3 separate regions of the Mus musculus genome follow, and regions 1 and 3 are each reported to be linked to region 2. The links are microRNA targets in miRTarBase. Many come from high-throughput screens and were not tested one by one. Region 2 holds a microRNA gene; each other region holds the end of a gene's coding sequence.
What was found. Region 2 holds the annotated microRNA mmu-miR-135a-5p (UAUGGCUUUUUAUUCCUAUGUGA, at 2,069-2,091, opposite strand). A microRNA usually pairs through its seed, bases 2 to 8, with sites in the 3' UTR of a target mRNA and lowers its output. Matches are read on the target gene's strand: a 7mer-m8 pairs with bases 2 to 8, a 7mer-A1 pairs with bases 2 to 7 and ends in A, and an 8mer does both.

Region 1: the mRNA of Smad5 is a reported target of mmu-miR-135a-5p. The part of its 3' UTR that is shown has no 7-base or 8-base seed match.
Region 3: the mRNA of Mbd4 is a reported target of mmu-miR-135a-5p. Seed matches in the 3' UTR shown: 7mer-A1 at 1,940-1,946.

Annotation. Positions count from the first base shown.
Region 1 is chr13:56,737,103-56,741,324 of GRCm38, reverse strand. It overlaps Smad5 (SMAD family member 5), which reads right to left. Exons shown (of 7, transcript NM_008541.3): 7 at 1-3,990. The coding sequence ends at 3,847. Among named protein-coding and RNA genes, the nearest start is that of Gm45623, 15 kb to the left of the region's middle.
Region 2 is chr10:92,070,073-92,074,316 of GRCm38, forward strand. Mir135a-2 (microRNA 135a-2) reads right to left here and starts at 2,113; the gene lies at 2,014-2,113.
Region 3 is chr6:115,838,575-115,842,796 of GRCm38, reverse strand. It overlaps Mbd4 (methyl-CpG binding domain protein 4), which reads left to right. Exons shown (of 8, transcript NM_010774.2): 8 at 235-2,100. The coding sequence ends at 312. It also overlaps a transcript of Efcab12 not described here. Among named protein-coding and RNA genes, the nearest start is that of Efcab12, 2.3 kb to the right of the region's middle.

The DNA of each region.
Region 1 (4,222 bases), not on the chromosome of region 2:
TAATCTTCACTCCCCATAAAGGCATTATTTTCACAAGAAAGATGAAGAACTGGTATCTCCTAAAGGGAAAATCCTACTGCTGTGAGGGAAATACCCACCTAGCTGGAGATTACTTTCAAAAAAGATGCTCTACCAAATATCTGAGGCTACCTATAAACAACCAATGTTTAGTCGTATGTATACTGAGAACACATTTCTACCGAGACCCCGGATAGCAGAGGATTTACTCGGCCGGACAAAGATGGGTTCAGACAAAGCTAATGGATCTAAAACCAAACCCTCAAAGGGGCTGAATTTTAAAAGCCATCAGAGCTCACTGTACTCTGCAGTGCATGCCTGTAATCCCAGAACTCCAGAGGCAGAGGCAAGAGAATTACTTCAAGTTTGAGGCTGGCCTACATAGTAATTTCCAGGCCAGCCAGGACTGTACAAAGAGACTGTATCCCAAAACAAAATAACAAAGACTTTTAAAAAAGAAATAAAAAATAGTAATTTTTTTAGAGAATCTTTAGGAAGCAAAGAGACGGGACTTTTAAGAGACCAGTGAGTGACAGGGACCCAAGTGCTGCCAGGGAAGTGACCAGAGAAGGTTCGAGGATACTGAGCCAAGCCTCTCGGTGCTCTCTGTGGCAGAAGCACAAATGGCATTGCTGACAGGCGTGCCCTGGACCAGTAAGACTTCACTTCTTCATCTACTCTGTCCTCCCAATGGCGATACTGGCAGGGGATGGAAATGTTTCCCACAGTCCTCTCAGGCATAGGGAGACTGTGAGGTAACCCCAAGTGTTACTTGCACGGTTCATTTCATATTGCAGTGTTACTTTCATTCATACCCCCAAAGGGTGTTTAACTTGGTTGAAGTGTTATATTTAGCAATCTTACTACTGGTTTCATCTTAGAAACTCAGCCACATCTATGACTACTTTTCTTACACCTGCAACCGTGAAACATAGAAAAAAGGGGACACGGATTCCTACTCTGTTCTATTTGTTTGCTCTTTGACTTTTCTTTTTTTATTTTCCTCCAAGACAGTTTCTCTGTGTAGAAGTTGCTCTGTAGACTAGGCTAGCCCCTGCTTCCCGAGTGCTAGAATCAAAGGCATGTGCCACCATTACCCAGCTTTTGATACTTTAGAACTGACTTCCTCCTATAATTTTCTCTAGTTCTGGAAGGCCCACAGCACGCCTACTTACAGCCCTTAAGTTCAGTTGGGTGACATCAGTGAGGTCATCACGCTACGCTGAAGGTATACTAGTCAAATGTACCTCTTGGTCCTGCTTTTCCTAGGCAGCATCTTGTTGCTGTAATCCATCGCTGAGATTTTGATTCTTCCATTTACAACATTTATCAAACTGATGGCAATCTTTATTATTTGCAAATCTTTTTTCCCTGGCAGATACTAATGTATTTTGTATACTAAATACTTGGCAAAGTACATGCCTAGCACGCCTGAAGACTGAGGCTGATCCTTAGCACCACGGAAGCTGGGTATGATGGCGGATGTCTGTCATCCTAGCACTTCAGAGGGTAGAGAACTGAAGGCTACCCTCAGCAACTCAGCATGGTCAGGGTCAGTCTGGGCCCCATCAGAGCCATCTCTGACAAAGACTGTACCGGCACTGGTCTGGTCTGGTGGCTTCTTCAGAGGCCCTACTCCCTGCCCTCTGTGGTTCAGTGCACACTTGCTGTCTTCATCTCACTGTGAGTACTGCCTACCCACAGGCGTCTGTATATCCTTACATACAGTAAGGACAGTACAGGAGCAGGTAGACTACACAGTCTCCATTTACTGACCACAGAATAGGTTGGGATTTCTCCATGAACCTCAGAACAGCTCAGAGCTTCAGTCCTGCCACTGTACAGATGGCAGGCCACATAGGACTCTGCAAGTCCGAGACCTATGACATGAAGACTGTGGAGAGACAACATGTAACCCACTGCTGAAAAAAGGAGCAGGCAAGGCCCTTGTGTCCAGACTTCAGCAGAGCTCACAGACATACACTCACTCAACTCAAGACACGTTCTTACAAACCTGTTCCTGAAGGCTGCCAAGTAAAGGAACATGAACGGTTTCTGCCTCGGCTATAAAGCAGACATCTCTCTCATGGAGCTGACACACTCTTGCTATGGAATACTTATGTCTACAGCTCAAGCTACTGAAGGCTATCAAGGAGCCCTCTCTGAAGGAGCAAAGCCACCCAATGGTTGCACTCTGAAAGGCAATAAATAATGGCACAGAAAACAAAAGGAATCCCCCCCCCCAAAAAAAAAAATAGCTGTTTTCCTCATAAAGGCAGGAAGGGCACTCTAAAAAGTCAAACCAAAATTACATTTTCAGCAGAAGAACCAAGTGGCTCTGTATATTTTCAAAAGGCACCAGAAAAAAACCTTTCTCACTCTGATAGGCAAATGAGGCCTTTTTCTTTATCAAAGTAGTGTCTTCATTCTCAGGCCATGACTGTCCATCTCAGGCCATAACTGCTCCCTAGAAAGTGGTTAAGAGTCCTAAGGACAAGGCACAGTGAACTAGATGAGTGTCTTAAGAGTGTTCACATCCAACAGTGTTGTGGAGATTAGCGTCCATGTAGGTTCTAAAAGGATAAAAAGAAAGAGGCAGAGCGTTGATGCAGAGAGACAAGCCTACACTCTACATTGTCTTGCTATATGACATATGACATGAACTATCCCAATCCCTATTGTGATTCACTTACACCAACAGCCTCATTCTTGGGCCAACCAAAGAGCCTCTACTGGCTACACTGCACGAGTCCTTGTATGACAAGTCTGGTAAGGAGCAAAGGTATTCATACATACATAACCTTTCAATGTCAATAATGCTCATAACATTGTAGGGGACTAACAGGCACCTTAGCTGGAGCTATAGAAGAACAACATTATAAACTACATTGGAAATTAAAGGCTAGAAAAAGCAGCACAGCTCACAGCTGTCATCTCTAAGTGGTCGTGTTGCACAAAGGAGTGCCAAGGCAGCGAGGAGGAGCTCTAAAACCAGGCCACCTAATAGTATTTTACCAGAGGCTACACTAAGACAGTCACCCATAAAAGTGCAAAATGAAAAGATTAATGCACAGGAAAATTAGAGTTCTTGAATTGTTGGCCCAAAGCAGCAAACAATGCTGAACAAGGCCACAGAGCACATAGTAACTAACTGTTAAGTAGGACTTACAACAAATTTGAGTAAATGAGAAATACTTGAAGTTTTTAAAAAGGAATTGTTTTACAAAATATATATGGCATGAAGTCACATTACACTGATGAATATTACCTATATTAAATGTAAATGTATGACGTCCAGAAATCTACCACCTTGCTTTCACTGAACACGTTAGGACTGCAGTGTCCTTCAAACAAGATTCAACAGTTTCCTTTAAGCAAGCCCTACTTTGAGGTTTTGCAAACAATGTATGCTTTTTCAAAGGTGGTAAGGCAAAGAAATTCCCAGAGAAATATCATCTACTGCTTTCCACAATATATGTTCTCTTATAGGATAAAATTTCATTATGTGATGAACTACTTTGTAAAAAAAATTTAACAAATTAAAAAACGTTGGGACAATAAGAAAAAGTACGTTCCAGTTTAAGATCAATGCTAAACATTTCAACAGGGGCAAAATACTCTACATCGTTTACAATACTTTTGAAAGTTAATCACAATGAACACGAATACAAACAAATGTAATATCATCATAAAATACAAATGTGTTGGTCACAATTACGTAGAAAAAATAATATCTGTTTTCCATGTCAGCTCACAGCATCTGTACTGGAAATTCCTCTAAAATTAAAACAAGTCCACTAAAAATATAGTTGAAAGAATACTTCTGCACTATGAAACAGAAGAAATGGGGTTCAGCGGAGAGCCCATCTGAGTAAGGACTTTATCCAGCCACTGCAGAGGCCCGTGGAGGTGAATCTCAATCCAGCAGGGAGTACTGGTGACGTCCTGTCGGTGGTACTCTGCTCCCCAGCCCTGGAAATGAACAGGCAGCAAAGCAAATCGCTCTTGAACAGTCAACAGTCCACACTAACTTTAACAATAAAAAGCTTAACTGCAGAAACACATAAGACTTACTTAAACTACAGAAAACCAGTAAGCACTCACATATGGTATTAAAAGACACATCTGCAGTATTCAACTCTTCAACAAATAACAGAATTTCTCAGACACAGACCCATAGGACTAAGAACATGTTTAACTGTTA
Region 2 (4,244 bases):
CAGTAATTAATTAATCTAACAGTGTCCATTAAAATCCACTCTCTGCTTTTAATGATACTTGTGAAGATTTTTAGAAGTAAATATATTCTCTAGGGTAGAATACTTTGCATGTTGGAAAATTTTCCAAGAAACATTCGTAAACACGTTTCATATATTTCTTGAAAAATTAATTTGAAGTCTTTGACTCTGGCCTATGGAAATGTGCCAGTTGCTTGGGCTGCTAATATAGATTTTGTGGTCACCCCGCCCCCTCAATTCTAGGAAACTTCCCTTGTGTAGGGCCATACCTGAAGTTTATCTGAGGTACCATCTATCTTGAGTGGCCTAGCGCTAACTACTGTATTACAAACATGTCTTCCTTCCCTACCTTAAACACAGTATGTTTTCATGTGACTAAGTCTTTTGCTCCTTTCATTACTCTATAGTTCCCCTGTTTTCTTCTTCCCCTCTTCCTTGTGTCTTCTTTTTCCATTCATGGGTCTACAGTTCTTCAAATACTCATCAACATTGGAGCCATTAAAGAGAAACTGAGGTAAGAGTGAACAATGGATTGAAAAAAAACCTCAAATGATAATAAAAATGTTCTGGGTGCAAATCAAGTATTTAACTATATAATGTTCTCACTATATTCTGTTTTGATGGTGATTCAATTCCATTACTGTGGAATTTATTTAAAGTTCCATTATGTGTGCTCTTGCTTACCCACATTTATTCTACGGACTTGGGTGGTTTTCAAAGTCTATAGATTAGTTATTTCAAAGATAAGTAACCATCAAGGTTACAATTACCCTGGCAATTTTTCCCATTTGCTGACAGACAGTGAACTATGAGGAAGAAGGGAAACTCTTGGCACCCCGCAGCAAGAGCCTTCTAAGGTGAATTACCATTTGCCTCTTAAAGCAGAAAGACACTAATAAAACACAGAATACTATCTTATTGTATAGAGAAAACAGAGAGACAAAAGTTAACAACATATATAAGTTTTTATTAGAATTCTCTTTTTAAAAATCCAGAATGACTGTGTAGCTCAAAAGTCAATTCTAAAGCAGTTCAAGCAAAAGAAGAAATACACATGAAGCAAGAAAGATGAATATAGTTGGATAGTGTGCATTAAACAATTCAGGTGAAAGGTAATAAAACATATGGAAAGGTGTTTTTCCTCGAAGTCTTTTCTTTCTCAAAGGTCCAGCTTAGATCCAAATCTGTTGTTCTAGATAGACTAACATCTGAAGAAGGGAAGGGTAAAGGCGGGGGAGAGAAAGGGACAAGAGGAGGAGGGAAGGGAGAAAAACTAGTATTTCATGAGCTTTTAAAAACAGAGTCAAGGCGAAATACTGTGTTAAGTCAAGTATAGATATGTCACTTTATTTAACCCTTATAATAATGATGGTATCACCACCCCCCCTATTTTTAAAGACAAGGATTGAGTCCCCCAGTTTAATTCATACGACCCTTTAACGCAGCTGACTTGGTGAAGATAGTAGAACCCAACCTCCCCCCTTCAAAGCTTCACTATACACACCTGTGAAGGGAAAATGACTAAATCTTTGGATCTGGGTATGGCACTAGCCCATGCGAGGTATACCTTTATTTTGGAGATTGGGAGTAGAGAAATCTGGACCACATTTCCAAGAGGACAAATCTGGTTTGTCTATTTCTTCTTTGTTTTCAGAAGAAAGACCTCAAAAGTTGTCGAGCAAAAGCCACAGAAGGTTTGAATGCTGCCTACAAGTGAGTGGGCTATTAACGTTCTCCCAGAGCATGATCGTTAGTAGAAAATACGGAGGGAAAAAAATGTATGATAGACAGAAATGCGCAAAGTCGAATGTGCATGTTAATCGGTGGTCAGGAAGATGAAAAAGCTCTCGAAACTTCCAGTCCTTAGCTGTCAATGCCTAAGGATAAAGACACTCAAGGAACACCAAAGAGGGAAGCAGAGATGTCCACTAGCTCACGTCTCCAGCATGGTCCACAGGCTATAGTTTGCTATCCTGATGGCCCCTTCTTAGTTGATGAATTTTCACAATGTATTTCATGGCTTCCATCCCTACATGAGACTTTATTACGATCACATAGGAATAAAAAGCCATAAAGCACTAGAGTGAATTTATCTTGGTCGGATGTAAAACTTATTTTCTTCACACGACTTCAAAACCATTTCCAAGCTAACCAATCATTTCATGCTACATTAAGGAACATTTTAGGCTACATGTAAGGGACACAAAGCACACTTAGATTGTAACATCACAAATTAACAAGATTTTATCCTTCAATGACATTCTTCGCTACGAGGACCAGAAACAAGACCAGGAGACACTCAGTAACATTCAACCATGGAATGTCACCAGAAACAAAGGACACTGGGGAGAATTCCTGGAGAAAAGCTCATCACTTGGACATTGAACTTGGAAACACATAAGGAAAGACAGCAGACAGACAAATCAATGTACGAACTGAAGCCAGGAGAATAATTTCAAGCCTCCTGCTTGTACTTTCTCCCATAGATGCTTTCTTATACATTCACTGTGTTCAGATATTTCATGTGGTACCAAGTAGAAAGGAAGAACATAAGACCTGCATGTGCTGTGTTATAATTAAGCTGTCTATACCCAAATAACCTAAAAAGGAAAGAGAAAAAGAGAGGAAGGGAAGGATGGAGAGAGGGAGGGAGGAAGGAAGGAAGCAAGAAAGCAAAGAAGGAAGGAGGGAAGGAAGGAAGGAAGGAAGGAAGGAAGGAAGGAAGGAGGGAGGGAGGGAGGGAGGGAGGGAGGGAGGGAGGGAGGGAGGGAGGGAGGAAGGAAGGAAGGAAGGAAAGAAGGAAGGAAGGAAGGAAGGAAGGAAGGAAGGAAGGAGGGAGGGAGGGAGGGAGGAAGGGAATGAGAAGGATCAAACCCACAACATCAAGGGTCCACAAGTGCTCCTTGCCTGTCCGCAGGAGTTCACAGACGTTGAGGACATTCCTACCTCTTTCTATGGAAACAAGTTTCTAACTAAGCCAGAAACAATCCTGGCTGCTGATGTCTCTGTGATCTAAGTACCACAGGTACAGAGGCCGCCAAGAACATTTCTCACGCTGCATTATCTCAAGTGGCCTTGTTCCTGGCATTATAAAACTCTCACCAGTGTGCTGCACCGAAGCCCTGAAAACTTGATGTAGGAAATTTCCTTATTTTTCTAGCCTTTCAAAAATAAATAAATAATTCTGAGGTGCCTATTTACCAACTCCAGAAGCAGCAGCGGTCTACACTATTATCAACTGCCCTCTGCACTTAAAAAGAAAAAGAAAGAAAGAAAGAAATGTGCTATTCAAGTTCAAATGTACAAAACCCCAACCACTTGAGGTTTTCCCCTTAAGGGGTAGAATGCTAGGCAAGCTATTTCTACCTAGAAATCACTATAGTGAAGTTTTGGGTTGTATGAATCATAAGGTGACTGGAAATAGTTAAATGGAAGGAAGTGCATACATAAATCCAATTATCATGCACAAACATGCAAATGATTTAAATGCTGCTTCTGAAACTCTGGTTGATGTTCATTAATCTCAGGTTGCACTTTTTGAAGGGGAAAGACATGCTAATTGGGTCCAGATTAATGCACTCCCAAGCCTCTCCAATTTGTTTTCAGGTGAGGGTTAAATGATATGTATTAAAATAAACACAGCTGCTCATCTACCTCCACCTTTCTGCCTTGGCTTTACTCTACCTCTTCCCCCAGCTGGCTCCCCTCCCCAAAATAACCCACCCCCAGCTGGCTCATCTCCTCTAGCGTGCCTCTTCTCTTTCAGAAGCTATCAAAGAGGCCTGCCTTGTTCTTTATTTGAGAACACATGGAAGAATGACTCTTTTTTTCAGTCAGTGCTTGCCCTTTCCTCAGGAGTCCCGTCACTCCATAAAGGGGGATCATCCACGTATTAGACCCCAGTGATGCTTAGCTGTGGCACCAAACACATACACCAATGGGAAAGCAGCCTGGCCTTTTCTCAGATAATGCACTCTTTCTCCTAGTCTGGGCTGTGGCCCTTTGGACCAGGATTGAAGGGTAGTTCGAAAGATTCTCCAGCACAGGATTGCTGGGAGCCAAAATTGCTTAAGGTTGGCATGGCGATCCTGTGACTTGGTTGTGTGGGAAATCAAAGCCTGAGACCAGATGTGTGGGGGTTTTTTCCCCCTGCATTCTTTCTCTGTGATTCACAAAGACACTTGACTTTCCCTGTTCTCACTCCCTGGTGAAATTAATCTTAAAAG
Region 3 (4,222 bases), not on the chromosome of region 2:
GGTTAGCTTCACAGGGTCTCTAATCATCGCTGCCTTCTGCTCCAGGTCTGGGTTAGTTCTGAACTGGAGAGCACTTTGTAATCCATGTAGGATATCTGTTGTATAAGGTATAACTATATACAGTCTTGGATGCTGTGGGGTTCCATGTCCCGTTTATCTCAGGTATATTATCATGATGAACCCCCTCACTAAACCTTTAAACATGTCTATGGCTGAATGTTGCATTTCTTCCAGGTGCACCCTGAAGACCACAAGTTAAATAAATACCATGACTGGCTTTGGGAGAATCATGAAAAATTAAGTCTATCTTGAAGCTGCCTGTTTGAAGTTTCCCATGCGTCGCCTTGTGCTTCGGTTTCTAAGGGCCCTGTGGTGTGCAGTGAGCTCCCTTCCCGGCACGTGGATTTTTTTTTTCAGTTTGTTAGAAGCCAGTGTATGTCTTAAGCCTCTGCCAAAAAAAAAAAAAAATTGTTAGATAATGATCCTAAAAGTGTTCAGTTTAGGTTTTCCAATGATGAAATTCAACACGCCAATGCTCAAATCCAGTTACCAGCACTCCTGCTAAAGAAAGCCTAAACATGTATTCTCCTTCTGTATAAAGTGATATTGTCATGTGTGGAAAGCCTGCCATTCTTAATGGGTATTCCAGTGTTATAGCTTAAATAGTGAGGCATTTACTTTAGAAAGATATCACTAACTAAAAACCGAATTGACCTTACATGGTGGCACACCCCTGTAATCCCAGCACTCAGGAGGCTGAGGAAGAAGGATGGAAAGTTGAGGGCCTGCCTCTTCTGTGTAGAGAGAGACTCTGCCTCAAGCACAAACAGGGCAGGGCCAGCAAGTGGCCCAGTAAATGAAGTCACTTGCTGCCAGGCATGATGATCTGAATTCCATCCCTGGAACACACTCCTGAAGGTTGGCCTCTTACCTTCACTTGAGCTCATACATAACATGTTACAAAATACATAAAATTTTCAGAAATGGTCTGCAGAGAGATGGTTCAGTAGTTTAATATGCTTGCTGCTTTTATAGAGGTTACTTTTTAGCACCCACATCAGGCAGCTCACAACTGCTTATAACAGCTCCTGGGGATCTGTCACCTTCTTTTGGCTTCATTGGGTACCTTAGCACATGTGGCATATATAGATATAAAGATATACATAAACATAAAAAAAAAATTAAGTCCTAATTACTTAACACTTTTTTTTCTTTTTGGTTTTCCGAGACAGGGTTTCTCTGTGTAGCCCTGGCTGTCCTGGAACTCACTCTGTAGACCAGGCTGGCCTCAAACTCAGAAATCTGCCTGCCTCTGCCTCCCAAGTGCTGGGATTAAAGGCATGCGCCACCACTGCCTGGCTACTTAACACTATTTTAAAATGTAGTTTGAAAATTAAATTATATCTCCTCCTCAAGGCAATATTACTCAAAAATGCATAGTATTCCACCCCATTTTTCATTAATAAAATATATTTTTCATTAATAAAATATATTCACCCATGCCAGTCATCATGGTATACTACTATAATCCTAACACTTGGGAGTCTGGAGAGAATCATGATCAAGGCCAGCCTGGGCTATATGGTAAGACCCTATATCAAAAAAGAGCAAAAAAACAAACCAAAAGATCCACTAGTGGCACACACACAGACAATGAGCAGATGGGCCTTATAATGTATATGTGATGAAAATACATACACAGTACCTGGGATGCTGATGCAAGAGGACCTCTGAATTCAAGGCAGCCTGGCTTATGAGAGTGTGAAGGCAGCTTTGGTTACACAGCAAAACCCTGTACAAAAAATACAAACCAAGTTTGTTGGACTAAATAAGCTATGTCTGCAGAAGTGTCTGTCTGTCTTGTTTAATGGAATTCTTTTTTTTAAAGATTTATTTGTTTTATGTATATGAGTACACTGTAACTGTACAGATGGTTATGAGCCATAATGTGATTGTTGGGAATTGAACTCAGGACCTCTGCTTGCTTCTGGCCCTGCTCTGGCCCCGCTCGAGTATATGGAATTCTTAAGATCCTAATATACTTATGAAACCTATCACTTTGTATTAGGTAGTTAATAAAATATTTTTATTAAAAAGTAAGGTCCCTTTGGCATTGTGTTCTTGACCACTTGCATTGGCTCTGAGGAATTTTAGATTTGCCCTTAATATCCCTGTGCGAGTGTGGCTTATGGCTCCATTGCAACTCACCCTTTAACCCTGATCCTTTGTGAAACCTTCTCTCTCCCAATGTTTGGTGCCATTTCCATGGCAGGTGGTATACCATCATGGTTCTAGTTCCGACGATCAATTGTCATTCTAAGGTTTGGTTTGAAAATTAAATCGAATGAAGGCAAAGTAAACCAGCTGTCAGGAAGCTATTTGTCGTAGGATAGCGAGTGGGTATAGGCAGATGTGCTCTGTTGCAGGCTAATTGATTTTTCCTCTGGTGAACAGGTGGCAGCTGTGAGAGGGATGCTGGAGGTGGAGAGATCATTGGTCACAGAGTAGTCAGGTTCAGTTCCTAGCATGTCTATGGAGGGGATCTGTTGCCCTCCTCTGGGCACACAGGTCGTGTGTATACATGCATGTGAAATAAGTTCACATAAGTGTAAAGAGATGTGATGTGGCAGGAAAGCTGGCCATACCTCCCACTTCACAATAACCCTTAATATTTTCACAAACATCACAGGAACACACATAAGTGCAGAGCTCTGTGCTGGGGAGGGAAAAGGATGAGAAGGCTCTGTAGAGACCTCCCAGGAAGAGAACAGTGCTAACAGTATGGCAGAGAAGACAAAGTGAGGATGGAGATCCAGACACAAGCAGGTCAGAGTCCAGAGAAATCTTTGGATGCCTGGGCCATGGCCAAGGTTAGGTGGCAAAGCAAATTTCCCAAATGTCAGCTATGAGATGAGATAAGGCTGCAGGGCAGGGCCACTTAACCCCCCTCTCCCTGGTCGCCTTGAAGGGGAGCTCTGTCTGGCCAATTGCTGGGGTTCCAGGGCGACTCTTTCTTTTCAGGAGATAAGGTTGCCTGACCTCCGTGCCTTCCCTCGCATCTCAGTGAAACCATGGTGCCTTGTCATGGTTTTGTAAGTGTTCAGAGGCTGTGGCTCAGAAGGGCCAGTAGAAGCGAGTGCCTCGGGTTGTGGGGAGTCAGGAGGATGCTAAATCTAGTGAAGATGGTCCCCAGCACAGAGAACTTGTTCAAATGTTGATCTTTATTTTGTGACCTACAGTTTAAAATGTTAGAATCAGGTGGGTAGTTCAGCAGTTGAGTTTTCCTGGCATGCCCAAGGCTTAGAGCTCAGTGCCCAGCAGTACAAAACTTTTTCTTTTTTTCTTTTTTTTTTTTTTTTTTGGAGACAGGATTTTTCTATGTAGACCAGACTGGCCACCAATTCACAGAGCTCCTCCTGTGTACTACCATACCTGGCCAGACCACATTTTTGTAAGTGTTTAATTAAATGGTTTTGTTTTGTGTTTAACACATTTACAGCCACTAACACTAGCTAACTCAAAGACATTTCTGAGCCTGGCGTGGTGGCACATGCCTTTAATCCCAGCACTTGGGAGGCAGAGGCAGATGGATTTCTGAGTTCGAGTCCAGCCTGGTCTACAAAGTGAGTTCCAGGACAGCCAGGGCTATACAGAGAAACCCTGTCTCGAAGAAACAGGTGTAAGGCCTGAGCCTGAGTCTGGATTCTTCCGTTTACTAGACTCCTCCATGTAGTGTGGGTCATGTATCTTTCCATGCACACCCCATAGTTCACCTATTAGTGGAGATTTCAAAGGTTTATTATTAGGACTGGTTCTAACCTGTTTCTGGCTTTGATTAAAGATAGGCTCTCATTGAGTGGCTCTGGCTGGCCTGGGACTTATGTAACACAAGCTGGCCTCAAACTTAACGTCTATCTTCCCGCGCTGGGATACAAGTGGTTGCCACCAAAACTGTTGATTCCAGACCATAACACCCAGTCATAGCACCAAATACCTGTCTTTTATTTGACCTTGACTGACTAGGATTCTCAGAACCCAGGGTAGAGTTATGATACTTTTTTTAAATGAGAAAAGTGAAGCCTGAAGATAAGATCTGTGAAGGACCTGCAGCTTACAAGAAAATAGGACATTTTTTTTTTTCTTCAGAATAGGGGGCCATGGGAAGACTGGGACATATGTATGATTTCCCAAAGGAGGCACCAGCCAGAGCTAAGCAAATCGC